2 linked regions of the Macaca mulatta genome follow. The protein of the gene in region 1 purifies or fractionates together with the protein of each later gene. This does not show direct contact. Links are inferred from orthologs where the notes say so. Each region holds a gene or a part of one and is shown on either strand. Other genes may lie near its edges.

The links.
Region 2: the proteins of NGFR (region 1) and NDN purify together in Homo sapiens (affinity purification with western blotting; 3 studies listed by BioGRID). This does not show direct contact. The link is inferred for Macaca mulatta from reciprocal best matches to the Homo sapiens genes NGFR and NDN.

The regions. Positions count from the first base shown.
Region 1 is NC_133421.1:60,494,337-60,510,699, reverse strand, and holds the end of NGFR (tumor necrosis factor receptor superfamily member 16), read left to right. Parts: intron 1-1,380; coding exon 1,381-1,522; intron 1,523-5,806; coding exon 5,807-6,166; intron 6,167-10,182; coding exon 10,183-10,435; intron 10,436-11,701; coding exon 11,702-11,862; intron 11,863-12,522; coding exon 12,523-12,824; 3' UTR 12,825-14,827; downstream 14,828-16,363. UniProt on the Homo sapiens protein: Low affinity receptor which can bind to NGF, BDNF, NTF3, and NTF4. Forms a heterodimeric receptor with SORCS2 that binds the precursor forms of NGF, BDNF and NTF3 with high affinity, and has much lower affinity for mature NGF and BDNF.
Region 2 is NC_133412.1:6,258,100-6,274,716, forward strand, and holds NDN (necdin), read left to right. Parts: upstream 1-7,701; 5' UTR 7,702-7,815; coding exon 7,816-8,781; 3' UTR 8,782-9,622; downstream 9,623-16,617. UniProt on the Homo sapiens protein: Growth suppressor that facilitates the entry of the cell into cell cycle arrest.

The sequences.
Region 1 (16,363 bases):
CTGAGCCTCCTGGTCTGCAGATGTTCCCAGCAATGAGTATGTTGCTGCCCGGGAGGAGGTGTGGCAACACCAAGGTTCCCCCTCCTCTGCTGCCTGTGCCTGTTCTGCTGGTCTCATGGAGACCACAGGCTCCCTCATGGGTCGATCTAACCTGTCTATCCCCCTGACTCCTCTGTTTCCTTCCCCACCAAACCCTGATGAGACTGCAGGATATTTTAAAAGGCTGGAGGGAAAGGAGTGTCTTGGCCATGATCTGGCCAATGTGGAAGAAGCAGAATGCCCAAAACAAGCTTGTAAAGCTTCCTTCTAGTCCCACGACCCCAGAGCCCATACTTCTCAGCATCAAATGAGGGCTGCATGGTCTGGAGCCAGCAAAGCAGGCTTTGGAGTTTTATTAGACATTAAGGTTTTTTTAAGGAACAGAAATATAAAGCGAGCCTCCAGCAGCCCCTCCCCCTGGGGAATCTGGTGTTAAATTGTTCCATCCATGAGCAAAGATGCTTCAGTGGCAGGAACCTGACTCCCCTTTCCCTTGGTTCCAGCGCTGTTCCCAGTGACCACATGGGGGAGGGGGGAGGACTGGTGGCTGAAAATCAAACCCTGGCAGGGCAGGGATGCTGGCTGGTGAGAGCAGCCACTGTCCCATCATTGATAACAGTCTCCCTTCCCTCCATCTCGGTGCCAGGCTTTTGCCAAACAGTTGATCTTTTGCCCTGGCACCAGGCTGTTGCCATCTCTGTAAAGAGATGAAGACTCAGAGGGAAGCTGGGCAGGCAAGACCCCCAGCGCAGACTCAGGATTCAAACCCAAGACCCTAACCCTCTGCTTTCTGCTCTTGGGCATGGATATCTCTCATTTATTATTTAATATGTGGAATTAAGAACCTGGAGTAGGGCCCTGCTGGCGTTTGTTAGAAAAAGGCCCTCCTCTGGGTAGATGCAGCCCTGCAGGTCAAAGCTTAGCGAATGGAGTTTGGGCTAGGTTTCAGCTCTACTTGCCCTGTTGGCTGGGAGCCCTGTGCAAGCTACAACCTGTCCAACCACTGATGACATCCGTGTTGGTAGGCCCTCCGCTGGGCCTCAGGCCACCTTCCCCATGTGGTGTATCCTTGGGATTCCAGGAGTTGCTGTAACCCCAAGATGAACTTTGCAGAAGGTCAGCAGCTGAAGCTCTGACCTCACACCCCCAGCAGCCTGCACAGGCATACTGTCCCTCACTTGCCTTTCCCCTGTCAGCTTTGATGTGCCTAATGCCTCCTTGGTGAGCTCATCCCAGCCCAGGTGGTTCTAATAGAAGGCAGTGGGAGGGGGTGTTTGATACCCCGGAAGAGACCCCCGCCTTTCTCTTGCCAGTCTGACCCTCTGATCTGCCTCCATCCAGGTGTCCCTTGGAGGTGCCAAGGAGGCATGCCCCACAGGCCTGTACACACATGGCGGCGAGTGCTGCAAAGCCTGCAACCTGGGCGAAGGTGTGGCCCAGCCTTGTGGAGCCAACCAGACCGTGTGTGAGCCCTGCCTGGACAGTGAGTAGAGGGTGGTGGGTAGCAGGAGGGGAGAAGAATGGGGGTGAGGAGGAGAGGGGTGAAAGGGAGGGGCGCTGGGAGGAGCATGCCCAGTAGAGCCTTATAAGTGGGAAGGGTCCCCTGCCCACCACTGTAAGGTCACCAGAAGTGGGTCTGACCCAGTGTAGGAGGTGTTTCTCCCAGATGCGAGAAGCTGAGAATGGAGAAGGGAAGTGTGCAGAGGGAGGAGGGGAACCCCACAGGGGATCTCCAAGGGGTGCCCATTCCCAGCTCCTGAGAAGGCAGAGGCCTGGTAGAAGAGTGTGGCCGGGCAGGGAGGAATAGCTGATGCTAAGACCAGCTAAAAATATCATCTGCACTGCAAAATCAATGGCTGCCACTTATCCCTGATGTGTTTGGGGGAAGGGAGAGGAGGATCAAATCCTGGCTGCCCTGGAGGCTGACCTTGGGGGATCCTGGGGGTGTGGCTGCTCTCCCCCACAGACCAACTCTTCTCCAGCTTTGACCAGGAAGCAGAGTTTTCCCGAGGCAGCAGGGATAGGGGTCCTGAAGACGTACTTATTGTTGGGTGACAGAGGGGAGGGGAGATGGGGAGCTGTGCCCATTCCTGCCTGGGATCCTTCCTTCCTTCCTTCCTTCCTTCCTTCCTTCCTTCCTTCCTTCCTTCCTTCCTTCCTTCCTTCCTTCCTCCCTCCCTCCCTTCCTTCCCTTTCTTTTTCTTTCTTTCTCTCTCTTTCCTTCCTTCCTCCCTCCCTCCCTCCTTTCTTTCTTTCTTTCTCTCTTTCTTTCTCTTCCTTCCTTCCTTCTTTCCTTTCTTCCTTCCTTCCCTCCCTCCCTCTCTCTTTCTCTCTTTCTCTCTCTCTCTCTCTTTCTCTCTTTCTCTCTCTCTATCTCTCTTTCTCTCTTTCTTTCTTTCTTTCTGGCAGAGTCTTGCTCTGTTGCCCAGGTTGGGAGTGCAATGGCATGATCTCGACTCACTGCAACCTCCACCTTCTGGTTTCAAGTGATTCTCATGCCTCAGCCTCCTGAGTAGGTGGGACTACAGGTGCATGCCACCATGCCTGGTTAATTCTTGTATTTTTAGTAGAGATGGGGTTTTACCATGTGGACCAGGCTGGTCTCAAACTTCTGGCCTCAAGTGATCCACCTGCCTCAGTCTCCCAAAGTGTTGGGATTAGAGGCGTGAGCCACCGAGCTCAACCCTGCCTGGGATTTCTTTCAGGAGGGGAGAGAATCTCATCTTCCAGGGCTGGTGGGTCTGGGCCTCTTAGCCCCAGTCTTGTCCAGGGTCTGAATCCCCTCGTGTTTTGAGTCAGGGGTCTTGGTCCCTGATGGGTGCCCCCAGTCCGCAGTTGCTGCCTTTGGACCATGGGCTCCCTGCCCTTTTCCTGATGACTGCCACTCAGAACCTGCCTTCTACCTGGCACTTGATGCCCACCTGGAGGGCTCAAGGGAACCATACTCAGATTGTTCTTTAATCTGGCTGGGAATAAGGGGATAGAGCTGGGGCCTCTGAATCCACCTGCGGACATAGTATTACCTCTCTGGATGTCCCCCTGAGTCTATCTGTCCTTAAGGCAACCCCAACTCTTGGTGTTCCCCAGACATACTGTTCCCCTTCTCTGTGCTTATGGATCCTGTAACTCCATTCCCCAGCCAAGAGATGCCTGGGCATATGTGTGGAGGTGGGACATCCTCCAATGCCTTTGCCATCTTGCTGTCTGGCCTAACAGGGTTTCCATCCCAGGGCGGGGTGGCCAACCATCAGCTATCCCAGAACCTCCAAATCTCCCTCTCTCGCTTCCTGGACTCCAGCCCAGGGCTCTCCTCCCAGGACCTAAATGATGGGAACCCTTTCCCTTCAGTCAAAAGATCTTCAGCAGGAGGTGGGGTGGAGGACACCAGGAGAGGGAAGTTCCAGAATCTCTGGAAGGGAAGGGAGGCAGGCAGAGAGGTGGCTTTGAGAATCCTCCCTTCCACTTCCTCCCTCCCTTCCCTTTTCCCCTCCTTCCCTGTGTCCCCCTCCTCCACCTCCAGCTGCGTTAACAGGCTGCCTTTACAAGCCCACTTTATGGGATGGAGACCCCAGCGGACTTTCCCTCTATCCTTAAGACGTTTCCACAAGGAAACCTATTAAGCCCCTGCCTTCATTCTCTGCCAAAAAAGACCACATTTTTCACACCACCTAAAACCCTCTCCCAGGAGTTTTCTGCTAATTTTCTGTGTTTTGCCATGAGCAGGGTTCTCCTTTTCCCCTCCTGTGTGACTAGATTTACCCTCTGTCACATGCCAGCCAGCCAGGACCCTCTTGTTTGTACAGATCAGACATCCTGCCTTGGCTGTTTGTGTTTGGACGTTCTTTCTGCTGTCTGACCATATTCCTACCACCAAAGTTCACTGTTCTTATTGCTCCCAACCCCCATGGGGCCCAGTCTTTATAGGATCCCAACTACATGCCAAGACTTTATGGCTGAATTTCATTTATTCCTCACCACAACCCTGTGACTGCAGATATTGCTCCTTATTTTTACAGAGAAAGAAAAAGCTCAGAGACGTTAAGTAAAACACCCGAAGTCACACAGCTGATAAGCGATGGAAGTAGATTTTGAATCCAGATCTGCCTGCTCCTAGGAAAAGGGATACAGGGTTCCTCTGTCAGAACTGACTTGAAACTGAAGTCTCCCTCCAGGCCCTTCTTCCTGGGTCTTTCCTTCTCTCCTCTACCCTTTTCTATTTTCTTCTTCTTCTTTTTTCTTTCTTTTTTTAGACAGTGCCTCACTCTGTCACCCAGGCTAGAGTGCACTAGTGCAATCTTGGCTCACTGTAACCTCTGCCTCCCAAGCTCAAGCAATCCTCCCACCTCAGCTTCCCGAGTAGCTGGGATTACAGGTGTGCACCACCACACCCAGCTAATTTTTGTAGTTTTTGTAGAGATGGGGTTTTGCCATGTTGGCCAGGCTGGTCTTGAACTCCTGGCCTCAAGTGATCTGCCTGCCTTGGCCTCCCAAAGTACTGGGATTACAGGAGTGAGCCACCACGCCCAGGCTCTGTCCGCAATTCTGCCCCTTTCACTTCTCTCTGGCTTTTCCTTCTTTGCCTCCCTATCCCCCCACCACAGCCCCCAAGCCAGTGACCCCTTGCTCCATCTTGTCTCTGACACCTTTGAATAATGTTAAGACCCCACCCCCCAACAGGCCTCAGTTTACCCCAATGGTGCTTTAGCCTTTCTGCTTCTGCTTCCACATTCTGAACAATCTGTCCTTCCCTAGTTCTCAGGTTCCTAAATCTATGTTCTTTCTGTCCTTGGAGCAAGGATAGGTTCTGCCAGATCCAGGTTGGCACAGAGTTCTCCACCCAAGGCTGGAAGGGGTGAAGAAGATCTGGCCCTGCTCCTTCCCCTCCCTGTACAAGGAGGCAAGGACCCTGGCATGTCTGGCCTCCTTCTCCTTATTCTGGAGTGCACATCCACTAATTAAGAAAACATGAGTGAAGAATGAGCTTGGACATTTCCCTTGCATGCTGGCTGAAAGGGCAGAGGACGCATGTGCAGATCTCAAAGGGGTGATCATATACAGTTGTGCAGCTTGTGTACTGCTCAACAATATCCATCTGAGAGACTCAGTGTGGGCTAAGAGCCAGCTCTCTAGCTTCAGTGGCTCCTGCCTTACCTGAACCCTCTTGCCTGCTGGTCCGTCCCCACCCTCAGGAGCCAAGCCCTTCAGCAGCGTGGGGGTAGCGCCACGGGTGGGAAATTCTGCTGTCTAACCCCGGTCACTCTCATTCAGGGTGCATCTGAGCCCACACCTGTGTGAAGAGGAACTGAAGGCAGATGAGGCAGGAGGCTCCCTAGGGGAAGGCCTACCTTGCCTGGACTGGGTTAGCAGCCCAGTTTTGGCCCGCGGGGAGGGCTGGGTGGGAACCACGTTCAGATTATTCGTTAATCATGCTGGAACACCCTACAGGCCTGGGAAGTCTCAAAGAGAATTTGCCAAGAAACTTACTGGCACCAGCTGGGTTATCCGGGAAACCCTCCTGGCCGGCCAGTGCTTCTGGAGGCTGAAGGAAGCGGCTCCGGGCCTCCTTCCCCTTACCCAATTGGCTGCCACCAACTTTCACCAGGCTAGGGGTCAAAGTCCCCTGGAAGAGGGTGGGAGTCGATGAGAAGGCGAAGCTGAAGGAGGAAGTCAGCGTCCTGGCAGGCAGTGGGTGAGGGAGAGACTCCAGGCTCCTGCGTCCCGGGTGCCCAAAGAGCAGACGACTAAATCTGGTGTCCGCTGCGCTCAGGTGTGACGTTCTCCGACGTGGTGAGCGCGACGGAGCCGTGCAAGCCGTGCACTGAGTGCGTGGGGCTTCAGAGCATGTCGGCGCCGTGCGTGGAGGCCGACGACGCCGTGTGCCGCTGTGCCTACGGCTACTACCAGGACGAGACGACCGGGCGCTGCGAGGCGTGCCGCGTGTGCGAGGCGGGCTCGGGCCTCGTATTCTCGTGCCAGGACAAGCAGAACACCGTGTGCGAGGAGTGCCCCGACGGCACGTATTCAGATGAGGCCAACCACGTGGACCCGTGCCTGCCCTGCACCGTGTGCGAGGACACCGAGCGCCAGCTGCGCGAGTGCACACGCTGGGCCGACGCCGAGTGCGAGGGTGAGCGCTGTTAGGGAGCCGGCAGTAGGGGGTGCGGGGGTGGGCTGGGGGCATAAGGAAGGGCTCCCTCTGGAGGTCGACAAAGACCCCGCCTGGCCTGCTGGGGCAGCTTTGTGACCTTAAGGCAGCGTGCACCTTCCCTGAGCTTCAGTCCCTTCCTGGTAACCTGAGGGAGGACGTCGTTCCCGATCCTGTCTCACCAGAGAACCCCTCTCACTGTTTCCTTCTTTTGGCTAAGTGTTTGGAAAGTGGGGGGTTCTCATTGTCCCAGGCCGCGGGTACTACATGTAACTCATCCTCGGGGACTCATTTCTCTGTGACTGCCCGCTAGTGATTAGATGAACAGCAAGCAGCTCGAAGGTGGCCACTACCCCCAGGGCACAGCACAGAACACGAGGGGTCTGATCCATGAGGCAGGCTTTCTGAACTGGAAGAACAGCTGGAGGACCCTCAGGAGCTGGGACCCTTTGACTCTGAGCCCTGGTCTAGGTCCATGGTGGGTTTTGGCTCTGGGACCTGAGATGGAACCCACCCTGTCCTTATCTGACATTAGGGAGTCCACTCCTGTCTCTGGGCCACAGTTTCCTCACTGGTCATATGGTTGCCAGGGTTGTTGCAGGTTAGGGAGCACAGTGGGGCTGGCCCACTTCAGCTTGCCCTGTCTAGGGGAGGGGTCAACCGTGTTTTGCAGTTTAGTGAAGGATGAGGGGCGTGCAGGGAACACCAAGGAGGGGCTCTGTGGAAGAAGGGGGGGCAGACCTGGGGCTCAAAAGCCCGGGGACAAGGGAGTGCATGCTCGTGGCTGTCAGTTCCAGGGGTGAATGGGAGCTGAGTGTGCCCTTAGCTAGGCACAGGCCCAAAGGAGATGGGGTGATTCCAGGGATGGGAGGAGGAAGCCCCATGGGAGCCAGGGCAGAGCTGTTTTGGTCTCTGGTTGGTGACGTCCGTCTCGGGAGACGGGTGGGCTTTTCCACTTCAGGGAGAGGCTGGCAGCGCCTTTACATCCTGCTTATCCTCCTGTGGCCATGCACACATTGAGCTATTTCCCTTTAAGACCTAACCTTCATCCTCAGGTTGCTTTTACCCTGAGCAGGCAATACAGCACCTCCTTCAGTGAGCCCCCAGTTCGATGGGAGAGATAGCCTTCGCCCAGTCTAATGAGAGAGACGTGGTCCCAGCACTTAGTCCCCAGCTGAAGGAGAGACAGCCCTCACTTTAGAAATCCCCCATTCTGATGGAGGCAGCAGAGCTTCTGCCTCAGTCAGCACCTGATCTCCTGCCCCTGGGGACCCTCCAGTCTGATAGGGGCTCCAACATCCCACACCTGCCTTCCAAGTCCTGTGATCTTTGGCTTTAGGAGCTCAGGATGGGGAGGGCTGTTGGGCTAAGGCCAGGTTGAACTCAAAGCTGCCTGCCTTGGAGAAGGAATGAGGAGTAGGAGTAGGATGTGGTAGTTCTGGTGGCAATTGCCCTGGGCCAGGAGACAGGCAAGTGGCATCAGGCACCAGGCAGAGCGCAGGGAGGGTTTCAGCAGCCAGGCGTCAGGGAAGCGGGCAGCACATTTCTGTGGACAAGTCCAGACCAGCCAGCTGCGGGCGGGGTTGGGGGGACTTAGGGGCGCTGCAGAGCAAAGAAAGGTGGTGGCTGCGGGAGGAGCAGGCTTTGTGGTTTGGGGCATTCACAGATTCCTCTCAGATCCCAGCCCACTTTCCCAGCCACCCCAAAGGAGGAGGGTGCTCCTGAGGGAATGTGTTCATCCTGGACCTTGTTCCCCTTTCAGCTTCAGGCTCTGAAGGGTTAAATGTCAGCTCTGGAACGAGGGACCATTTCAGGAAATGGAATTTGATTCTTGGTTTGGGTGCCCCCTCCCCTCCAGCTTACCATACTTTCCCCCCTGCATATAAGTTTCAGGTGTCAACATGGTGACTCACCCACCCTTAGGGCAGAAGGGCTCCCCACTGCCCCAGTGAAATTCGTTTTGCTTAGGGGTAATCTTGTCCCTCCATCCAGCCCGGAAATGGCTGTCAGGACCTGCCAAGGGCTTAGTACGGGGGAATGCTAGTGGACATGGCCACATCTGGATCTCATCCTCCTGCCCTCATCAGAGGGGTTTGGAGAGATGAGGGAAGCTCCCCGAGAGTCAGCGCCGCCTCTGGTCTGGCCATGCCTTGCTACCCTCCCAGCCCTCCACTACTGTGCTCTGATCTCAGTGATGGTCTCATTCACGGGCACACAGACATGCATACTCTTTCAGCCTCTGGCTTGGGGTCAGTCTGAGCTGAGCTGTGTCTCCAACCTCCGGACTTTGGCTGCCCCCCAGCCTGCCCAGTCCCCTGGTAGAGCAAGAGAAGACACTCCCCAGTCCAACGCTCCACCTGGGGCTGCCAGAAGACAGGGCTCCGTCTCCTTCACTCCCTCTGGCCCCTCCCAGGACTGAGACGGGGAAGGGTGGGATGGGTGACAGATCACAGCCCCTCACCGCTGGCAGCCAGATGGATTCTAGATTCACATCTGGGGGCTTTGCCCCTCAGAAGGTGCTGAAAATGGGCCTTTGAAGCATTTTCATCTTGAGTGTAAGAGGCCAGAAGATGGGTGGCAGCTTCCACTCGTGCTTGGGAGTACAGACCCCAAAACCACAGTCCTGTCGGTGCAACCCGTGTGGCCCCTTCACTTCTGACCACACTCCCTGTCCAGAGAGAAGTGCCCCTGCTGCCTCCCTGACCCTGACCCTGCCCCGTCACCATCTCAGGCCGCCTGACCCCTTCTCCCACACTGCTAGGTGGGCCAGCCCCTCCCACCACAGCGGATGTCATATCTGGGGGGCTGACACCAGGGATGGTACTAGGGGGAAGTGACAAGGCCCCAGAGACTCAGAAGGAGGAATCGAGGAACCAGAGTGGGCAGAGCTGGGGGCAAGGTACCCTCCCCTTCACCCCATTGGCATGTCCTGTTCTGCTTTCGCTCCCTGCCCCAGGTGTGGGAAGCGAGGAGGGACGGGGTAGGCAACTTTGCCCAGACAAGTATCCCCAGGCCGTCCAGAGCCCACAACCACTAGCACTGCCCCTAGCTATGTGGCAGAATGGAAAATCCCACCCACTGGTGCCAGGAAGGGCTGGGTCCCCTGCCAGGGAGGCTGGCAATGCCCAGCTAGCATGAGAGGGTCTCGGTGGGTGGCAAGTCACAGTCTCCCCTGGGGCTGAGGCATTGGGCTGGACCTGCCTCATGGGCCCCCTCTCCACTGGCTCTCTGCTTCCTGACCAAGGAGGGCTGGGGCTACCTGACGCTGTCGTCTCTGGGTGGCAGGATCAGGCTAGGTGGGAGCCAGACAAGGCAGGAAACAGAGGCTGGCCACTGTCCCAGGGCTGGCTGGAGGGAGGCAATCCAGCTGCCCCCGCACCACTCCTCTCCACCCAAGCCTAGAGCCCAGGACATGAGGTCAAGAAGTTAGGGAATGCTCTCAAGGAGGTGGTGTGGGGAAAGCACCTCTCTGACCAGACCTGTGTACACTCTTCTTTCCTTAGGACGGGGGTGACTGGGGTCATCTAGGACAAGCTGGGGCCAGAGAGACATTTCCTGGAGTGATTCCAGCTCGAGGCCTCCCTGTGGTCAGGCTTTGTGTGTTTGCTCCCAGACAGGCCTCTCTAGGTACCCTGGGAGGTGGAATAGAATTCCAGGACCATAGCCCCAGATGGAAGGGAGCTTAGAGACCGTCTCTCTTAATAGCCCCATTAGATAGATAAGAAAATCGAGGTTCTGAGAGAAAAAGCGGCTGGGCCAGAGTCACCCAGCAAGTCAGTGGCAAAGCTGAAGGAGATGCAGCTCTGTGGGCCCACAGGCCTTGCTCTTTAGCGTCATGACATCATGCACACAATCCCAGCCCCCACACTGTGCATAACAGCTGGGCACAAGAGCACCCGGAACCAGGGCGGGGACACAGGAAGAACACTGCAGTGGGTTACAGCTAAAAGGGAGGGGCGGGGGAAGTGGGTCCTCACTCCTGTGGCCTTTTCTCCCAGAGATCCCTGGCCGTTGGATTACAAGGTCCACACCCCCCGAAGGCTCTGACAGCACAGCCACCAGCACCCAGGAGCCTGAGGCACCTCCAGAACAAGACCTCATAGCCAGCACGGTGGCAGATGTGGTGACCACAGTGATGGGCAGCTCCCAGCCCGTGGTAACCCGAGGCACCACCGACAACCTCATCCCCGTCTATTGCTCCATCCTGGCTGCTGTGGTGGTGGGCCTTGTGGCCTACATAGCCTTCAAGAGGTAAGAGAGGGCACAGTGGCAACAGAGAGGGGAGATGTTTGCCCTCAAGGAAGACTTTACTGTGACCTTGACCTGAAAACACACACACCCTTTTTTTTTTTTTTCAGTTGGAAAACTTTTTCTTGTACACATACCCTTTTAACTCAACCCCAAACCAAGCTCCTCCTCACTCATCATCCACTGCCCCACTCCAGGGTGCAGCAGGTCAGCAGGAGGTGAGGGGAGAGGATCCCCCCTGTCCTGTCCTGTCCTCTCCTGCCCTGTTCTGGCTCCAGCCCCTCCCACTCCCATGCCGTACCACTCCCTGATTCCCTAGCCCCCAACTGCTTGTGTCTTCATCCCCCAACCTCCTTCACCCCACAGCCACCTGCGTGTGCATACGTCTCTTCCCCTTCCCTTGTCACACTGGGAATGCTGTGGCACCCACATCCAGGAATTCAGGATGTGCACGAACTCCCAGAAGGCGTTTTAAAGCTTTAAATGCATTTTCCATTCTTTCTAAAAAAAAAAAAAAAAAATCATCAAAGTAACACATGCATGTTTAAGAAAATGCAAACAAGACCAATATCTTTCAAAGCAAAAGTAAAAGCCCCCTTTTATCTTCCCAAATCCTACTCCTCTCCTTATTGGAATCTGTTTGAAATGGATCCTTCCCAACTATTTTCTGTGTGTGTTTTTTATAAACATGTATATAAACCTTTTATAATTACATGTAAACATGGAGGGCTTTTTAGGCATCAGTGAGATCACATTGTACATATTCTGTAGCTTACTTTTTTCACTCAGTCTCCCTCAGGAGACCTTTCCTCAGGAATGTAGATTAGCTGATCATTTGTAACCACTCATTCAATAGTATGGATGGATGGTAATTTATTTAGCCAGTCCCCTATTGATGGACATTTGTTTTTTTTTTCCAGGTTTTTGTTATTGCTTATAATTGCAGAGGAAATCCTTGTATGTATCACTGCCCACATGTGGGAGTATTTTAGAAGGGTAGATTGGGAGAAGAGGAGTTCCTGAGCAGTCACTTATTGCTGCACTGCTCATTCCAGGAACATTTACTGAACACTTACAGAGGGCCCCTCATGGAGCTTTCAGGGTAGGTGGGGGGCAGATGTGCAAAGAGGAGCCTTAGATGCTGGGGTGGCGGTTACAGTTGGGCACCCGCCATGCCCCTGGCCCTCGCACGGCAGAGCACAGATACCTCAGCTGCATCCGCCGCTACGGCCCCCGCCCCCTGAGACCTGGCCTGTCCTCTGGCTCCAGGTGGAACAGCTGCAAGCAGAACAAGCAAGGAGCCAACAGCCGGCCAGTGAACCAGACGCCCCCACCAGAGGGAGAAAAACTCCATAGTGACAGTGGCATCTCCGTGGACAGCCAGAGCCTGCATGACCAGCAGTCCCACACGCAGACGGCCTCGGGCCAGGGTGAGCAGGGGCCCCGCTGAGGAGCTGAGTCGGAGCTGAGGCTGAGGAAACAGAAGCGGTTAAGATTAGACTCCAGGAAGGACTGTGGGAGGAGGGGGAGGCAGGGCTGGCTCAGCAGTGCCCCTGTAGATGGATGGAGAGGCTGGCTGAGGGGAATGGGAAGGAGAGGCCCTCTCCAGGGAAAGGACTTGGGAAATGGAGGCTTTTACAAGTTGGAGCATCCAGACTCATCAAGCTAATTGTCCCCCCTGGGGGCTAATTACTGCCCAAAGTAGCTGCAATTAGCCTCCTGCCCTGGACTTCTGGGGAACAAGTAGTTAAGTGTGTACCCTAATTAGTGGCCCATAGCCCAGCTCCGGGACACTTGCTGTAGATGTCTGGAACTGAGAAGCCCTGTCTCCTCCTTTGCCATGATTAATTGCTGGGGGGGAGGAGAGGAGGGATGGGGGTAGGGATTGGGCTGGAGTGACAGGAGGAAGGGACAACGAGTCCCCCCAGGTGCCTTCACTTCCTGGTGTCCCACCCAGGACCTTGGCTTGGCCCTAGGCCTCTCGATGGGGAGGAGCACTGCCACCGCCCACCTTGGGTCTTATCCCAGCACCCACTGTTGGGGAAAGGAGTGCAGGGGTAGGACCTGACTCTCCTCTGGGTTCTCTGCAGCCCTCAAGGGTGATGGAGGCCTCTACAGCAGCCTGCCCCCAGCCAAGCGGGAGGAGGTGGAGAAGCTTCTCAACGGGTCTGCGGGGGACACCTGGCGGCACCTGGCGGGCGAGCTGGGCTACCAGCCCGAGCACATAGACTCCTTTACCCACGAGGCCTGCCCCGTTCGTGCCCTGCTTGCAAGCTGGGCCACCCAGGACAGCGCCACACTGGACGCCCTCCTGGCCGCCCTGCGCCGCATCCAGCGAGCCGACCTCGTGGAGAGTCTGTGCAGTGAGTCCACTGCCACGTCCCCGGTGTGAGCCCAACCAGGGAGTCCCCGCCCCGCCCCACATTCCGACGACCGATGCTCCAGCCAACCCCTGTGGAGCCCGCACCCCCACCCTTTGTGGGGGGCCCACCTGGCAGAACTGAGCTCCTCTGGGCAGGACCTCAGAGTCCAGGCCCCAAAACCACAGCCCTGTCGGTGCAGCCCGTGTGGCCCCTTCACTTCTGACCACACTCCCTGTCCAGAGAGAGAAGTGCCCCTGCTGCCTCCCCCACCCTGCCCCTGCCCCGTCACCATCTCAGGCCACCTGCCCCCTCCTCCCACACTGCAAGGTGGGCCAGCCCCTCCCACCACAGCAGGTGTCATATCTGGGGGACCGACACCAGGGATGGTACTGGGGGAAGTGACAAGGCCCCAGAGACTCAGAGGGAAGAATCGAGGAACCAGAGCCATGGACTCTACACTGTGAACTTGGGGAGCAAGGGTAGCATCCCAGTGGCCTCAACCCTCCCTCAGCCCCTCTCGCCCCCCACCCCAGCCTAAGATGAAGAGGATCAGAGGCCTGTCAGAGCTGGGAGGGGGTTTTGAAGCTCAGCCCACTCCCCTCATTTTGCATATATGTCAATGAGGCCCAGAGAGAGGCCGTGACTCGCCCAAAGCTGCACAGCAATGGGGAGGCCAAGTGCAGGCCGGCACCGTCTTCTCTAAATGAGGGGCCTCAGGTTTGCCTGAGGGCGAGGGGAGGGTGGCAGGTGACTTTCTGAGAAATGGCTTGAAGCCAAGTCAGCTTTGCCTTCCACTGTCTCCAGACCCCCACCCCTTCCCCACTGCCCGCCCACCCGTGGAGATGGGATGCTTGCCCAGGGCCTGGTCCATGATGGAGTCAGGTTTGGGGTTTGTGGAAAGGGTGCTGCTTCCCTCTGCCTGTCCCTGTCAAGCATGCCCGTGTGACAACTGTGGCATGGCTCCAGTCTGCTGCCCTCCATCCGGCAGGCACAGACCCGGAGCTAACACTGGCCCCTAGAATCAGCCTAGGGGTCAGGGACCAAGAACCCCTCACCTTGCAACACACAGACACATGCACACACGCACGCGCACACACATACACACAGGAGGAGAAATCTCACTTTTCTCCATGAGTTCTTTCTCCTGGGCTGAGACCGGATCCTGCCCGGGGCAGCTGCCAGAGAAGCATCGGAGGGAATTGAGGTCTGCTCAGCCGTCTTCACTCGCCCCCGGGTTTGGCGGGCCAAGGACTGCTGAGGCTGGAGCTGGCGTCTGTCTTCAAGGGCTTACACGTGGAGGAATGCTCCCCCATCCTCCCCTTCCTTGCAAGTATGGGGTTGGCTGGGCCCACAAGATTGTCATGAAGAAAAGCGGGCCAGTGTGGGAATGCGGCAAGAAGCAACGACTGTGACCCGTGGGGATTTCTCCCAGCTCTAGACAAGCCTGCAAAGGACTGTTTTTTCCTGAGCTTGGCCAGAAGGGGGCCATGAGGCCTCAGTGGACTTTCAACCCCCTCCCTGGCCTGTTCTGTTTTGCCTGATGTTGGAATGAGTGTGGCTCTCCTCTATTTAGCATGACAAGCCCCAGGCAGGCTGTGCGCTGACAGCCACCCCTCCCCAGCCCAGGGTTCCCCCAGCCCTGTGGAAGGGACTAGGAGCATTGTAGTAAATGGCAATTCTTTGACCTCAATCTGTGATGAGGGGAGGAAACTCACCTGCTGGCCCCTCACCTGGGCACCTGGGGAGTGGGACAGAGTCTGAGTGTATTTATTTTCCTCCCCAGCACGTGGGGAGGGGCTTTGGGGGCTGGCAAGTATGTTTTAGCATGTGTTTGGTTCTGGGGCCCCTTTTTACTCCCCTTGGGCTGAGATGGAACCCTTTTGGCCCCCCAACTGGGGGCCACGAGCTCCAGACCCCCAGCATCCCTCCTGTCATCTCCCCTCCTTGCCTCCTGTGTAATCATTTCTTGGGTCCTCCTGAAACTTACACATAAAACATAAGTGATGAACATTAAATAGCAAAGAAAGAAAAATAGTACAAAGAGATTTTCTGGAAATACACATGGTTTGAATTGTTTGGGGTGGGGTGTGTGCCAGGGACCCAGGTATAATTTCCAATTCGGTCAATTCCTGCCCTCTTTTACCCCACACCAAAAGGGGAAGTTTTAACAGAAAGCCAGTAAGTTCCCATGTGTCACTATGGGGTGGGGTGGGTTGGGGAAGGAGAAGGGGCTCTTTGCTCCCAGATCTTGGAGAGGGAAAGTGAAAATGGCCATGCAGGAAGCTGGCCAGCTGTGAACTTGACCAGATGTCAGAAGTGAAACTGACCACGGGTGAGTCAGAGGCTTCCCAGGAGGGCCAGGTCACAACCCCACAGCTCCCAGCCACCCACATGGCTTGGGAGACACACACACACACACCACAGAGAGAGAGAGAGAGAGATCTGGCTCCAGATGGCCTGGCAGGAGGCATTAGGCAGGCCTGGCCTGGAGTTAGGCAGGCAGGCCCCCTCCCTTGTAGCTCTCATGGGCAGGTCCTAACCCAGGCTCCTGACAGCCTGGCTTCGAGCCCCGCCTGGCCCAGGCCTGGGAGCTCCCACGGCTGCAGGGCTCCTGGCCCCAGGCCTGTGCCTGTCTCTGAGGCTCAGCCTCAGCCCCTGCTGGTGGTTTGGCCGAGTCCAAGACTGGCTTGTGGTCACTGAGGAAGACAAAGGGAGGCTTGCTCTTCAGTAAAAACAGCAAACAAGTCCGCCTGACCTCCAGATCCAGGGAGAAGGGCCAGCCAGGCCCAGTCAGAGTCAGACAAGGTTGGAGGGGAGGTCCCCTGTCTTCCATTCCCCTCCTGCGCCCCCAGACTGTGAGGGGCGAAAGGAAGATGGAAGGTGTTGCGGGAGGAATTCAGAGTAGGTAAGAGAAATAATCCTGGTACTTGGAAAATCAGTGTGATGGAAAAGACAATCTCTGTCTTGAGCGAGGCTCCCATCTGATGAAGGAGACAGTCCCAGAATTGAGGATATTCTAACCTGATGAAGGAGGCACACCTCCTGTCCTAAGGGTGCCCCCATGCTGATGGGGAAATATACTCTTTGACCTAAGAGTGGCTTTCCACTCTGCCCAGTCTCTTGTCTGGTGGGGGAAAACCAGATGCTGTCCTGTGAAATAAGGAGAACTCAAATCCCTGCCTTCACCAGCCTTACATTCTTGAGCGAGCTAGAGCAGACAGGCCCTATGTGGTGTGTACTGCTATAACAGTGGGGGATCCTAAGCAAGACCCACCCATACCAGGGGTCAGGGAAGGTTTGCCAGATAAGGTATAGGAAGCTGAGTCTTTAAGGATGAGTGGAGTTGGCCAGGCGCGGTGGCTCATGCCTGTAATCCCAGCACTTTGGGAGGCCGAGACGGGCGGATCACGAGGTCAGGAGATCGAGACCATCCTGGCTAACATGGTGAAACCCTGTCTCTACCAAAAATACAAAAAATTAGCCAGGCGTGGTGGTGGGCACCTGTAGTCTCAGCTACTCGGGAGGCTGAGGCAGGAGAATGACGTGAACCTAGGAGGCAGAGCTTGCA
Region 2 (16,617 bases), on another chromosome or scaffold:
CAAATCTACAAGAGAATAAACTTCTGTTATTTTATGCCACCCAATTTGTGGTGATTTTTTATGGCAGCCTTAGGAGACAAATAAGGAAGAAATGTTTTAATTTCAGAAAACGTACTGTTTTCAGTGTGCAAAATAAACTGCAAGTGAATAAACTAGTGAGAAGGCACAGAGGATGTCCTCAGTGGTGAACCAAGGGTGAAAGAGCAGTGGAATACAGTCATGGATGACAGTGAGTGGAATATAGTCATGGATGGCAGTGAATGGCTTATAGAAGGTGAGAATTATGTGATTACCTAGATATGAAGGATACAAGAGAATCAATGGCATCCTTTTTCTTCCTCGAGACCCTGGGTGGACAGCTATGCCATGTACTGTGAGGCAGGGAACACACTGGCAGCAGAAGGTTTCAGGCAGATACTGAGGAAGTAGAGTAAAATGTTGAATTTATAACTCAGGCTGGGCATGGTGGCTCATGCCTGTAATCCCAGCAATTTAGGAGTCTGAGACAGGTGGATTACTTGGGCCCAGGAGTTCAAGACAAGCCTGGCAAACATGGCAAAAACCCATCTCTAAAATTACGAAAATTTAGCCAAGTGCGGTGGCACACACCTGTAGTCCTGCTACTCAGGAGGCTGAGGTGGGAAAATAACCTGAGCCTGGGGAGTTGAGGCTGCAGTGAGCTGAGATTACACCACTGCGCTAAAGTCTGGGCAACCAGAGTGAGACTCTGTCTCAAAAAATAAAATAAAATAAAATAAAACTTGGCCGGGCGCGGTGGCTCAAGCCTATAATCCCAGCACTTTGGGAGGCCGAGACCGGCGGATCACTAGGTCAGGAGATCGAGACCATCCTGGCTAACATGGTGAAACCCCGTCTCTACTAAAAAAATACAAAAAACTAGCCGGGCGTGGTGGCGGGCGCCTGTAGTCCCAGCTACTCGGGAGGCTGAGGCAGGAGAATGGTGTGAACCCGGGAGGCGGAGCTTGCAGTGAGCTGAGATCCGGCCACTGCACTCCAGCCTGGGCGACAGAGCGAGACTCCATCTCAAAAAAAAAAAAAACAAAAACAAAAAAAACCTCAAAGGCACAATGTTAAGATGACCTTTAGGCAGCTGGATATCCAGTTATAGAACATGAAAGAGACATCTGGCCGGGCGCGGTGGCTCAAGCCTGTAATCCCATCACTTTGGGAGGCCGAGATGGGCGGATCACGAGGTCAGGAGATCGAGACCATCCTGGCTAACACGGTGAAACCCCGTCTCTACTAAAAAAAATACAAAAAACTAGCCGGGCGAGGTGGCGGGCGCCTGTAGTCCCAGCTACTCCGGAGGCTGAGGCAGGAGAATGGCGTAAATCCGGGAGGCGGAGCTTGCAGTGAGCCGAGATCCGGCCACTGCACTCCAGCCTGGGCGACAGAGCGAGACTCCGCCTCAAAAAAAAAAAAAAAAAGAGACATCTTAGTCTGGAGAAATGAATTTTGGACTCATTTGTGTATAGATGTAAAATTCAAGCTCTGGGAGATGGTGTTGCTCAGAACACAAGGTGACAGGAACAGAAGAGGTGAGACAGGACCACTAGAAACTTCAACTTTTAGATAATGGCTGGAGAAAGATATTTTAAAAGATCTGAAAAGGCGAAGAGAGTTCTCAGCGATCCCTGAAGTCTATGGTGTACCCTGAGGACTCAGGGCTATCTGGAAGAACAGCCATGGCATGGGTGGTGCGTGTGCGTTTGTGTGTGTGTGTGTGTGTGTGGTATGTATTTGCACGTGTGTGTTCCCAATATAGTTAAGAAACCCAAGGCTGCTTGGTAGATAAATCTATCATTAAAAGGATAACATGAAAAACTGCAAACATCACGACACACATAAATTTGACAAATTAGATTAAATGGCCAGACACGGTTTGCATTTGTGTTCCTGCCCAAATCTCACGTCGAATTGTGATCCCCCATGTTGCAGGAGGGGCTTGGTGGGAGGTGATTGGGTCCTGGGTTGGGGGGGTACTTCCCCCTTGCTGTTCTCATGATAGTGAGTGAGTTCTCACGAGATCTGGCTGTTCAGATGTGTGTGGCACCTTCTTCTTGGCTTTCCTCCTCCTGCTCTGGTTATGTAAGATGTGCTTTCTTCCCCTTTGCCTTCCACCATGATTATAAGTTCCCTGAGGCCTCCTCAGTCATGTTTCCTGTACAGCTTGCAGAACCATGATCCAATTAAACCACTTTTCTTTAGAAATTCCCCAGTCTCAGGTAGCTCTTTATAGTAATTCGAGAATGGACTAATACATGAGCCAACTCCCTAAGACCACAAATACCAAAATCCATCCATTATGAAAAGATCATCTGAATAGGCTTACAATTAAAACAAATAGTTACAAACCATCTGAAACCATCATTCAGGCACTGATGGTTTCACTGAAAATGTCTACCAAACATTTGAAGAAGAAATAAAGACAATTCTACACAATTTATTCCATAAAGCTGAAGAGAAGGAGGGACCAGTATTTTCATGAGGCTCTCAAGTCAAAACCAGATACAGATATCGCAGAAAGAGAAAACTATAGACCAATATCTCTGGTGAGCATATAAATAAAAACCCTCAGCTAAATATTACCAAATTAAATCCACTGACATGTAAAAGGAGTAATACAGCACAAACTGGAACCCAACATCCACTTGAATAGAGTTTATCTTAGAGAAGAGTGTTTAAGATGAGGCAAGTGATTTTAATATGTACCAGAAATAGCTCCAACTGGGATGGTCATAGGAGAGTCTGGAAAGAGGCTTAAATCACCTTGGCCTATTGCTACGCCTGTCTCTCCTCACTCCTCTCTGCTTGTTATTTTCTGTGGTTCTCAACTGGGGACTGCACTGCCCATAAAAGGACTTTTGGTGGTGTGTGGGGATGGTGTCTTTTCTCTTTTCTCCACTTTCCTGTTGGTTTTCTCATGTCTGGAGGGCATGTATGTGTGCATGTGAAGGGAGACAGCCTCTGTGGTGTGTGCTATGTTCTCAGACAATGAAACATTACGCCATCCTCATATCATCAAAGAGCCCTGCTCTAGACACTCTCAGGGTGATGTGATTTATCTTCTTTAACTTCCAAACTTCTCTTTCCAGCACAGGCGTTTTTGCTGAGTTGTGTCACTCCAGATATCTGCTGGGTATGACCGTTCAGTCTTCCCAGAATCTTTTGGTCCTTCTCTCCACATGGTTTCAGGAAACAGCACCTGCATTTCCTAGCTGCAGTCCTGCTCGATTGGCTGCCGGAGACAGAATCCTGGATGTGCCCGTTACTCACAGTCTCCCCTCACCTTCCATTGCTACTTATATCTTCACTGGCCTTTCTATTGAACCTCAGCTCCCTCTGTCCCCCTCTCGGTGATAATATTGCTGTTCCTTCACGATATGCATCATGACATATGATTATCTGATCAGGCATTTGCTTTCTCTTTTAAGGCTCTTTATCTCCACCACTTCGCCTCACTACAGATTACAGAGACCATGTCTCTTCTCGTTGTATCCCCAGGCACAAGGCCTGACATGTAATGTAATGTTGGTAAACAGTTGACGAATGAAGATGAAATGCAAGCCATCGCCCATCACATGGATTCCTGGGAAGGGGCCCCTAAGGACTCTCTGCCTCTGCTTGTCCAGCTGACCCAAACTCTAACCTTACTCTGTACGCAGGTGACCTTTCAGAAGACACCCTAGTCTCTTTAACTATCTGAGAGAGCTGCTCCTTGGGGCTGGGCAGGACTGAAAGGTCTCCCATTTCAGGGAATGCGATGGACCGCGAATGGATGAGCATGAGCAGTGGCCCCCTAGGGAGGCTGGGGATGAGAGGCCAGGGGCCGGTCCCTCCCAAGTTTGTAAAGCAGCACTGCCTGTCCTCACTTCTTAATGTTTTCTAACAAAAACAGGGGCCCAGCTGCAATGGGTTTTTCCCTCAGACTGAGCTACTTTTCTGAAATGCAAATATTTCAGGCACATGACAGGTATTGCTCAATATTTACTGAACACATTAAAGTGAATTCTCTGCTTAAGATCCTTGGCCTGAAAGGCATTTGGGGCCCGTTTAGGGGCTCCAAGGTGGAGGCTGCTGCGTATGTGGACAGGGAAGAGCCAGAAGATTCACATTTCATCCAGGGCCTCTGGGTCCCTGCACTGCGAGCATGCGCACTGCCCACTAGAGGCTCTGGGGTAACCCCCCTTTCTCTGTTCACTATGGAAACCAAGGCTGGGACTGGCCTCTCCTCCTGTTCCTGGGTCTGCCAAGAACAGCCTATTCCACAGCTGTGTAATCTGTTCCACATTACAGAGTTCGAAGTAACCCACCAGCAAAACTGTCTGCTCCAGAATATTTTAAGTTACAGCTTCTCCATATATATTCTGTATCTATTCACAGAACTTCTATTTACAGAATTTTGATTTAATGAGTAGTTGAGATATATTTTTGTAGTCTTCACACTTTTCCGCTAAGCTGCTGGCCCTGAGAGGACTTATTGCCCATCTCAAATAGGGGTTCCCCTGGAGACACCCAGCAAGATGTATTTATCCCATGACCCTCAGGACAGCATTAGAGCTCCGCCCCAGGTCTTGAGCCTTGGGTCAAGGTAGTTGTGGATGCCTCCCAAGTACTAGCTTCCTCTCATTTCTCACAGTGTCTTTGGTCCTTTCTGTTATTACTCTGAAGGTCAGAATCTCTGGCTCATGGGCACATACTTTATTAGGAAGCCATCAAGCTACTGACCCATCTATCTCATTGCACATGTGCATGCCTGCTTTCCCCACTTACAGGCTATCCCAGGCTTTATTTTGTTCCACTACCCCACCTACCCAAACTCCTACTCCCATTAATTTGATTTTGGCGGGGGGGCGGGGATTGAACCTCTTCATTCCTCAGGAGGAAGATGATACCATTTTAGTAGATGTACAGTTGGGCTCCAAGATCTAGCCTGTGCTTCGTTTTAGACTCATGCATCACACCCAAGGCTTTAAGCCTTCCGAGTGTAATCTCTCAGGGTGGTCTCCATCGACAGGCCCAGGTACAGCACTGGACAACCCTTCTGCCAGAAGCGCAGTGTGTTGTGTGCCGCGGGAGAGCCTTTCTGCACAGTCTGTTGATGCTGGCAACTTCACTAGAACGAAGTCCAGGTAGAAGCTCCATTATCCAGTCCTGCCCAGGCAGCAACTGAAATCCAAGCAGCTCTCTGGCCAAAGCACTGACACTCACTTCAGCAGAGCCACCTTTTATTGTTGTCATGCCCTAAAGCTTGTACTTTAGTTTCAAGAATCCATTACATCTCGGAGGGTGAAATGTGAGAATGTAGTTTGAATGAGATCACAATGTTAAAAACCATAGCCTACGGCCAAAGCTAAGTTGAGATTTAAATAGTAGGTTCAAACACTTTTATTATTAAAAAAATGTCAAACGAACTAAATATTTTTTTCTTTATGTATTTAATTTTTGAGACAGTCTTGCTCTGTTGCCCCGGCTGGAGTGCAGTGGCATGCTCTCAGCTGACTGCAAATTCCACCTCCCAGGTTCAAGTGAGTCTCCTGCCTCAGCCTCCCAAGTAGCTGGGATTAAGGGCATCTGTCATCACACCCGGCTAATTTTTGTATTTTTAGTAGAGACAGGGTTTTGCCATGTTGTCCAGGCTGGTCTCGACCTCCTGACTTCAGGCGATCTGCCCGCCTCGCTTTCCCAAAGTCCTGGGATTACAGGCGTGAGCCACCGCACCTGGCCTAAATATTTTATTTAAATAGTTAGAAAATAATACATACCCAAATAAAATAAAGAAGAATATTGATGGAGATTTAAATGCAATAAATGAGGATTATATTTAAGAAGCATGGGGGCAATAAGTCTGTTCAAGAGACATTTTTTTTTTTTTTTTTTTTTTTTTTGAGACGGAGTCTCGCTCTGTCGCCCAGGCTGGAGTGCAGTGGCCGGATCTCAGCTCACTGCAAGCTCCGCCTCCCGGGTTTATGCCATTCTCCTGCCTCAGCCTCCCGAGTAGCTAGGACTACAGGCACCCGCCACCTCGCCCAGCTAGTTTTTTTGTACTATTTAGTAGAGACGGGGTTTCACCGTGTTTGCCAGGATGGTCTCGATCTCCTGACCTTGTGATCGGCCCGTCTCGGCCTCCCAAAGTGCTGGGATTACAAAACAATGAATTAGCATATTTCTGTAAGATGCTCCCAAGAAAGTGGTAAATATCCATAAATAGAGGAAGGAGAAGGAGAAGTAGACGGAGAGAAGAAGGACGAGGTGGAGGAGGAAGAGGAGAAGGAGAAAAGTGTTGAAATAATTCCAACTAAGACTGATATCTAGGAATTACCCTGGTGAAGTGGGAAGCTAAAGAGCCTGTTGGAAGGACTGGTGTGGGAATGGCTCTGCCAAAAGTGTTATGTGCATGCAAACCCAAAGAGAGAGAGCACAGAAAACCCTTCAACATCAACCTGCTTGAGGAAAAATAAAGTGACAAGTGGGAAAAGATACATACTCACAGCGAGGACTCTAGACATGTTAAGACAATTTTTAAATGTGCTTTTGGCTTCGAGTGGCAATAATTAGACTCAACATATTTAAGAAGCTACTGATGAGAAGAAACGCTGGAAGCGCTGAAGGACCACATCAGCCCAGACCAAGGATGCTGAAGCAGCATCAAGGCCCTTGGTTTCAGAGGCTCCACCAATGACCCTTTTTTCAGGGAGACCCTGTAGGAGCGAGTTTTGTCTTTGCCCAGTGGGAATCTGTCTTCTATACTTAGAAAACAGGGTTACCCATGTTGCCCCTGCTACCCTTGGGTCATCTCAGAGACACTACCAGATATTACCTATGAGACCTAGTTGTTTTTTTTTAAATCTCAGGAAGGACTTGGGTGTGGCTTCCAACGTGGAGGACTCAGTAGCTTCAGAGAGGGTCCTGGGAGAAGGTGAATCGGAGAATAAGGGTGCTGGGCAGAGGGAAAAAGACATTATTATACAAGTTTGTGCTAAAAGATATAGCAATCCTTCTGCTGTGGACTAAGTATGGAAAAAAATAAAATGGAATCAAAGTGACCCAAAGGAAATGTAAAACTCAAATTTATGCCCACTAAAGCATTAATGATGCTCTAAGTCCGCTGCCTACTTAAAAGGTTCATAGTTCACATGGGTTGACAGGAAATTACGTTAAGGACACGCTGCATTTCTCCTTTTCTTACAACCCCTCTGATTTGGTAGGGAGGGAGTCAATCATTTTTTTATTGGAATTTCTCAGGATTCCAACTTCAGACATACACTTTACACATTTTCTTGGACAAGCCCGACTGTTCCTCTCACTCGTTCGCATAAAGCTCAAGTTTACACAGCCGCCCAGACCTTTCTCTGGGACGCTCATATTTAACTTAATTCTGGATATATCAGGTAAGCGTTTCCCAAGAAACTTGACCCCAACATCCCAAAAACTTAAGTTATCATCTTTCTCCTAAACTGGCCCCTTCTCCAGTACGCATCCATCGCACTCTTCTCCTGCCCTAGATCCCCTCAGCCCAAACGGGAAACCCCGGGATCGCTCTCTCCGCAGGTGAAGCTTAGCCAGGGACCCTCCCCGTCGGGGCTCCGCGCTGCCCCGCCCGCCCCCAGCCGCTGGCCAAGGCCGCAGTCGCGCAGGCGCAGTGCCGCGTCCCGCCGCCGCCCCGCCCTGCCCGCCGCTGCGGAAGGCGCCGCGCACAGCAACGCGCACTTCCTCTCCAGGAATCCGCGGAGGGAGCGCAGGCTTGAAGAGCTCCTGGACGCAGAGGCCCTGCCCTTGCCAGACGGCGCAGATATGTCAGAACAAAGTAAGGATCTAAGCGACCCTAACTTTGCAGCCGAGGCCCCCAGCTCCGAGGTGCACAGCAGCCCTGGGGTTCCGGAGGGGGTTCCTCCGTCCGAGACCCTGGCAGAGCCGCAGAGCCCTCCTTTAGGCCCGACGGCCGCCCCGCAGGCCGCGCAGCCTCCCCAGGCCCCGAGCGACGAGGACGACCCGAAGGCCCTGCAGCAGGCCGCGGAGGAGGGCCGCGCCCACCAGGCCCCGAGCGCGGCCCAGCCCGGCCCGGCCCCGCCAGCCCCGGCGCAGCTGGTGCAGAAGGCGCACGAGCTCATGTGGTACGTGCTGGTCAAGGACCAGAAGAAGATGATCATCTGGTTTCCAGACATGGTGAAAGATGTCATCGGCAGCTACAAGAAGTGGTGCAGGAGCATCCTCCGGCGCACCAGCCTCATCCTCGCCCGGGTGTTCGGGCTGCACCTGAGGCTAACCAGCCTGCACACCATGGAGTTTGCGCTGGTCAAAGCGCTGGAGCCCGAGGAGCTGGACAGGGTGGCGCTGAGCAACCGCATGCCCATGACAGGTCTCCTCCTCATGATCCTGAGCCTCATCTACGTGAAGGGCCGCGGCGCCAGAGAGAGCGCGGTCTGGAACGTGCTCCGCATCCTGGGGCTGCGGCCCTGGAAGAAGCACTCCACCTTCGGGGACGTGCGGAAGCTCATCACTGAGGAGTTCGTCCAGCAGAATTACCTGAAGTACCAGCGCGTCCCGTACGTGGAGCCGCCCGAGTACGAGTTCTTCTGGGGCTCCCGGGCCAGCCGCGAAATCACCAAGCTGCAAATCATGGAGTTCCTGGCCAGGGTCTTTAAGAAAGACCCCCAGGCCTGGCCCTCCCGATACAGAGAGGCTCTGGAGGAGGCCAGAGCTCTGCGGGAGGCTAATCCCGCTGCCCACTGCCCTCGCAGCAGTGTCTCCGAGGACTAGCCAAGTCTGGAGGCAGATGAATGCTTTCTGATCCTCACCAGGGCTGTGGAAGGGTGGGGGTGGGTCATTAGAGTGTTCAGGATTTACAGTGCAGTATTCACGTGTAACTTTTACGTTTTCAGTACAGTGCTTTTATACCTTTAATGCAATGTTGTGTTCATTTGGGTACTATTGTGTAGTATTTAGGATGTATGCATGTTTGTTTATATGTAAGCTTGGTTGGTGCTTTCGCTTTTGTGGTACCTTTCTTGGATTTTTGTATCAGAGACGTGCTAAACTGATGAAGTACATTGAGAACGTTTCCATCTTATTAATTTACATGGGACTGAGATGTGTGTTGGGGTAGACTGCTCCTGCAGAGTTTGGAAAAACTCACCAGCAAAGCCGGCCTAACCAAGAAATGTCAAGGCCCTCATGACCTTGCTGGGGACTGAAAACATCCTCGTGGAGTAAACTAATTTGAACTGGACTGGTCTCAATGTGAGAGCACTTGGCACACTTTACTAAACACATATACAACCCCACCGTGAGTCAACTTTAAAGTAAACATTAAAGATTCTTGTGATACAATCATTTCTGGAAGTGTACGTTATCATTTTAACAAAGCAGTATGGTTGGGAATGAGACAATTCTCTGTTTTACAGTATACACAGATATAACTATTTCCCCTAATGGGGTGGGAAAAATCGCTACTCATGATTACTCCTAAATTTGTGAAGTTTGTAGTTTTGTCTTTAACTCATGTTTATTTCAAAAACATGCACAAATATAGAAAAGCATAAAAAACAAAACAGTAAGATTGTCCATAATCACATCCTATGGGAATAAAAACCAAAAATAATTTCCTTCCCTTAAGTTTCTACATTTTATCAAAATTAATAGATGCTTTGTGGGCACTTAAAGAGTGAGACATTGTACATGAGCCCTGACGTGTATTTTTCTCCTTTTATCTAATCCTCACAACAGGCCTGTCAGGCAGGCAAGAACTGCCTCTGCACCATGGAGGAAACACAGGAATAATGTAGGTAATGGACTTTCCATAGCTCATACAGGTTAATAAGAGAAGGCGCTAGGACTAGAACTCACAATGAATCCAGAGTCCACATTTGTCCCCACCTGCCTTCAACTCCCCTACACCCTGTGGTTTTTAGGTTATTTATTTTTAACTTTATATTGAAATTTCATGTGGGAGCCCACACTCACATGGGTTCATGGGCCACACATACAAAAAGGCTAGGAATTTTATTTTTCTAATTCTTAGGATATTTTGGAGAAAGCAATATCATTCTGATTCTGCAAATTAAGAAACTTACTTTTGGAGAGATTAATTAACCTAATAAAGTGATATTCCTGTTGAGCAGTGAAGCTGGGATTGGAAACAATCTTTCCTGAGGGTTGGAGGTGAAGGTGCTTTCTCTGACAAACACACAAGACACCTAAGAGAGGGAGGTGGGTTGCCCATCAGGATGTCTCGGGCCTCGCAGCCCTTGAGTTGCGGTGAGCCACTAGGTAATCCTCAGAGGATGGGATGGGCTGCAAGTGGGCTTTAGGGGCAATGCCTGAAGGAAAATCTCATTGTGAATTTTTAGTCCTGCAAGGGGTAAGGGGGACAAAAGGGGCTTTAATAAGAACAGAAGTCCTTTAAACTACAAAAGAGTGGGAAAGACCATTTGGCCAAAGCCAGAAACTTTTCTGTGGAAGACTAATAATGAAGAGGACACGTGTCACATAACACCTCAAAGAAGTAAACTGGGAGTCCTATTAGGGTGAGGGAATTATAATTTGGATTGGGAGCTGGAATTCCCAACACTTACTGGCATTACTTAACAGGTGGGGGCGGGTGCTGGAAATGCTGAAGCCCCTGTTCGTGCTGAGATGAAATCCATCCCAGTTTAAAAGCTTCTGGTGAAGTCTTTCAAGGGGGTTCTGTGGGGAAAGGGGGACATTTCTGCAATCACCCAGGCAGGAGTGACCTGGCTTTGATGGCACCTCTTACACAAAACCAATGTGAACGTCTCACCTCTTCAAAAGTGTTAGGATTGTTTAGAAATCTTACCTCCCCACAACCCATCAAAAAGTTTCTCCAGAATCAAAATAAATCTGCCCCTTATCATTTAAAATTGTGGGGATATCCAGGATGTTTCGTTTCTGGAGTAGGACTATGGGCTGTTGTTCCTGCCACACACAGTGCTGGTCATTTTCTCTAATGCCTTAATACTCCCCTCACTGCTGGATTGATGCCTTGCAGGAGCTGTAACCCCTGTGGACTTCTTGCAGTCAAGCCCAGAAATCACTAGGCAAACAGTCCCTTTACATCCCCATTTAACTCCTTGTTTTGTGTCCACTTTCCCTCTCTGCTGTGAGAGGCACGGAGAACCACCCTTTCCAAAGCTGTCCCAAGTTCATTCACACAAGCACCCTAGCCAGGCCATAGAAGACCTAGCCTTTACAGGAGAAACAGAATGTCAGAATGTGAGAAAGGAGTAAGGCATGGGGCAGAGCGACTCTTCCCCGATGCTGCCTAGGAGGCAGCCAGACCTAGAGAAAGAGGCTTCCAGATGTAAAATGAGTTTACTTCATGACACCTGATCCTGCAGAGATAGCAGCTTTGGGCACGGGGAGGGAGCACCCAGCAGCTCCCTTGGATTTTCATGCTGGGCTCTACATGGAAAGACTGGAGAGTTGGTCAAACATTTACCAAAAGATTCACCTACAAGGTCCGGGGATGGGTCAGTGGGGAAGGGGTCAGCAGGTCCTCAGTGTTGCAGTCCAACATGACAGTGTGCTGAAGCCCAGACTGCTGTGGGTGGGAGAGGCTCTCCTAACTCCCCATAACATGTGAACTTCTACCTGCCAGCTAGAACCTCATTTCTTCACAAACACCTGCAAACATATTTCAATTTGTTAATTTCATTTTATGAAAGACATGAAGGGAAAAGGGATCTTTGCAAATTTAATATAAAATATAAAGACACCTAGTATAAGCTGTCCTGAGAGGAAATAAATAACTGTAAGCAGTATCATTATTAAATAGAAATGTTTTAAGTGAAATTCTTATGCAGTTAAATATTTCCTGTGCTTGAAAACCCTTTTAGGTCCTTCTCCAACTTGAGTCTTACCTGACCAACTCATGAACACTACTTACTGGGAGAACGCTCTCCCTAACCTCTAAGCACAGCCATGTTCTCAATGCACTCAAAATACACATACTGGTTATAATTATGTGCCTTTTATTTCTCTCCTCCTGGATTGTTACATACTTAAGGGTTAGAGTTGTCTGTATCCTGTTCATTGTTTCCTTGATACTTGATGTAAGGATGGGCCATAATGGATGCATTTGATAAATATTTGTTATATAAGTGAAGTAACTCAAAATATTCGAAAAGACCTACCCATCCACATGAGAAAACAAAACCATATGTGGCCGACAACAATTAGCCAATATAAAGGGCGCGGTGGTTCACGCCTGTAAACCCAGCACTTTGAGAGGCCGAGGCAGGTGGATCATGAGGTCAGGAGATGAGACCATCCTGGCTAACACGGTGAAACCCCGTCTCTACTAAAAATACAAAAAAATTAGCCAGGCGTGGTGGCTGGAACCTGTAGTCCCAGCTACTCGGGAGGCTGAGGCAGGAGAATGGTGTGAGCCCAGGAGGTGGAGCTTGCAGTGAGCCGAGATCGCACCACTGCACTCCAGCCTGGACGACAGAGCGAGACAACCCCATCTCAAAAAATAAATGAGATGGAGGACGACTCCATCTCAAAAAATAAAAATAAAAATAATAATAATAATAATAATAATAATAATAATAATAAAGTAGAGGTAATGTAGGATAGGCGCGCAGTGGCTCATGTCTGTAATCTCACCACTTTGGGAGGCCGAGATGAGTGGATCACTTTTTTTTTTAGAAAAACTACTAGGTACTGGATTATTTTGTTAGAGTGTTTGTAGCAATGATTTTTGAAACAAGTTTTTGCCTCCATTGTTTTTCTGCCTTCTTTTTTTTTTCTTTAGCTAATTTATACCTATCTACATTACCTCTGCTTTACTTTTTTTTTTTTTTGGCAGAGTCTCATTCTCTCGCCCAGGCTGGAGTGCAGTGGCACAGTCTCGGCTCATTGCAAGCTCCGCCTCCCAGGTTCACGCCATTCTCCTGCCTCAGCCTCCTGAGTAGCTGGGACAACAGGTGCCAGCCACCATGCCTGGCTAGTTTTTTGTATTTTTAGTAGAGACGGGGTTTCACCGTGTTAGCCAGGATGGTCTCGATCTCCTGACCTCGTGATCTGCCCGCCTCAGCCTCCCAAATTGCTGGGTTTACAGGCGTGAGCCACCGCACCTGGCCAGAAGCCATCATTCTAAGCAAACTATCACAAGGACAGAAAACCAAACACCGCATGTTCTCACTCACAGGTGGGAGTTGAAGAACAAGAACACATGGACACAGGGTGGGGAACATCACACACTGAGGCCTGTGGCGGGTGGGGGTAGGGGCGGGATAGCATTAGGAGAAATACCTAATGTAAATGATGAGTTGATAGGTGCAGCAAACCAACATTGCACATGTATGCCTATGTAACAAACCTGCACGTTGTGCACATTTGTCCTATAAAGTATATATTTTTTAAAAAAGCAAAAAAGAAACAACTTATTACTAGATAAATGGGCCAAGGACACAGAGAGGTCAGTGCCTTAATAGTAAACACAAAATGAAAAACAAATACAATCTCACTAATTAAGTAAAGATACTTTGTCTATATGAATTGATCAAATATATAATAAAAATGAATATCCTGTACTAGCAAGAGTGAATTGAAATTGGCATCCTTGGACCCTGCTATAGTTGTATAAATTACTACACGCTATTTTATGCATTCATTCAGAGTGCGTACTGAGTGCCTAATATGCTGCAGATGCAGGGCTAGGAGGTAGGGATGCAAGAGTGAACAGAATAGACATTGTCCTGTGCTTGCTGAGCATTCACTGAATTGAAAGAAGCAGGTGAATAAAAATAATTACACTTCAGTGCAGTGAGTGCCATCCTAGGAGAAGTGTGGGGCCTAAAGAGGCACAAACAGGTGCACACGACTCAGACTGCCCTAGAGAGGTGAGGCATAAATTGATTCAATAGGATGAGAAGCAATTAACAACGTGAAAGCGGTGTGCGGAGGGGTGAAGTCGGGAGGAGGCTCTCTTTGTGTCTTGGGCTCTGCTGTGTGACCACACACACAAGCATATGGGGCTGCACAACGAGTTTCTCAAAATAAATAGAGTAAAAAGGAGAAGGGAAATAAATTTCAGAATTGACTAGAGGCTAGGTAAAAAAAAAAAAAAAAAAAAAAAAAAAAAAAAAAAAAAACGCATGCTGGCTGAAGACACAGTCAATTTCCTCAAAGATGTGACAAAGAAGAGGGCTGATATGAATCGCATGAAAGGCTAACAGATTTAGAAGAAGCCATGCTGAAGCATAGCCTTCTTTTGAACAGACACCTTTGTTTTTTTATTGCTGCTGTTGTTGTCTGCTTTGAGGGGTCTAAAACATCCCTCCTTATCTCTTTATTTGTCCAATTATTCTTTGGTTCAGCTACTCAGGGTTTGGAGCTCTTAACTATATTACATATTTTCCCATATCTAAACAGTTTCATGTCTGTTCTATTAGCCCACCAACTTTATACTAAAAAATCTTACAGATTCCTGTTTGCTGTATAAATTATTTTGTTTATGTATTTATTCAATAGAGATTTCTTGAACTTCAACGATATGGCTGACTTGTGCTAGGGACTGGTACAATTTGGTGAATTAAACAAGATGGCTCTTGGCCTCAAGTAGTTTATTTATAAACCTTTTTTTTTTTTTTTTGAGAGGGAGTCTCACTCTGTTACCCAGGCTGGAATGCAGTGGTGCCATTTTGGCTCACTGCAAGCTCTGCCTCCTGGGTTCATGCCATTCTCCTGCCTCAGTCTCCTGAGTAGCTGGGACCACAGGTGCCCACCACCATGCCCAGCTAAATTTTTTGTATTTTTAGTAGAGATAGGGTTTCACCGTGTTAGCCAGGATGGTCTCGATCTCCTGACCTCGTGATCCGCCCGCCTGGGCCTACCAAAGTGCTGGGATTACAGGCGTGAGCCACCACGCTTGGCCTATTTATAAACTTTGCATTGATAGAGCACAACAAAAAGGTACAAACGAAACTTCAAATACAAATTATATGATTGGATAAGATACATGAAAAAAATGGGCCAGGCACAGTGGCTCACACCTGTAATCCTAACACTTTAGGAGGCCAACATGTAAGAATTGTTTGAGGCTAGGAGTTCAAGCCCAACCTGGGCAACATAGCAAGACCTCTCATCTCTACAAAAAAAGTTTCATTTAAATAAATGACTTGGTTAAATTGATAGAGAATGGTTGAGAAGACAAACTAGGGCAGGAAGCCCAAGAAATAATTTTCTGAAAAGGGGAAATTTAAGCTGATAATTAATTGAAGGATAACAAGAGAGTTAGCAAAGATCAAAGGGGAGATCAAGATAAATCCAGGCAGAAAGAACATATATATATATAGTATGTATATCTAGTATGTATATCTAGTATGTATATATAGTATGTATATATAGTGTGTATATATTTTCTCATATATACACACATGTATGTATGTGTATGTAAATTACAGGTGTATATACACATATATGTGTATAATATATATGCACATATGTGTGTATAATATATATACACAAATATGCACATATGTGTGTATAATATATATACATACATATATATGAAGGCCCAGAGTGAATTAACTAGATTTTCTGGTAGCCTTTACCACAAGAAATAGCATTATAAATGGGCTGAGCAAAATGCAACACCCTGTTGTCTTTTCTTGTCTGTCTCCACAGTTGAGGCCGCACAAGTGAAATATTTAACTTCTTGGTCTTTCAGCTGTGTTCCAGTCAAGAGATGTACAGAGAAGTTTATCCGTACTTTGCCTTCCTACATCCTGTTTCTCTTTCCAGGAATGTATAAGGAAAGTCAGGAGCTATTGCTGCTCCTATGATGACAGTATAAAAACAGTCAAATGGGCCGGGCGCGGTGGCTCACGCCTGTAATCCCAGCACTTTGGGAGGCCGAGGCGGGCGGATCACGAGGTCAGGAGATCGAGACCATCCTGGCTAACACGGTGAAACTCCGTCTCTACTAAAAATACCCGGGCGCAGTGGCGGGCGCCTGTGGTCCCAGCTACTCAGGAGGCTGAGGCAGGAGAATGGCGTGAACCCGGGAGGCAGAGCTTGCAGTGAGCCGAGATCGCACCATTGCACTCCAGCCTAGGCGACAGAGGTAGACTCCGTCTCAAAAAAAAAAAAAAAAAAAAAAAAAACAGTCCAACGAATCACAGAGAGGCTGAGCCTGACATCTACAAACTGCTGGACAAATACCAATAGCCACCTACTTGTATCTATAGTTTTTGGCATGTAGAATAAAATCCCATTCTTTAAGCTATTGTCTTGTGCATTTTTTGCTTGCTTTGTGCAGCTCAAAGCATCCCTAACCTGTAAAACTTCCAAAACATTCTTTTCTCATCTCCTATTCTGTGTCTGGTACTCATTTGAGGGTATTACTGACCATGGGTGGGCCCTGATCAGGTTATGACAAGCAGAGTAATTCTATCTCCTGGCTGCAGTGCTTAGATCAGATATGAGAACTTAATCAGTTCTGAGCAATCAGGTCTTGTAGATTAGAACTTCCATTCATTTCATGGCAGTGGTCATGAGAATAGAATTAGGGCTTTTGGCTCTGAATTTTGTACCACTTTGGCATTTCGAGTTATCTCAGAAAAACGTATA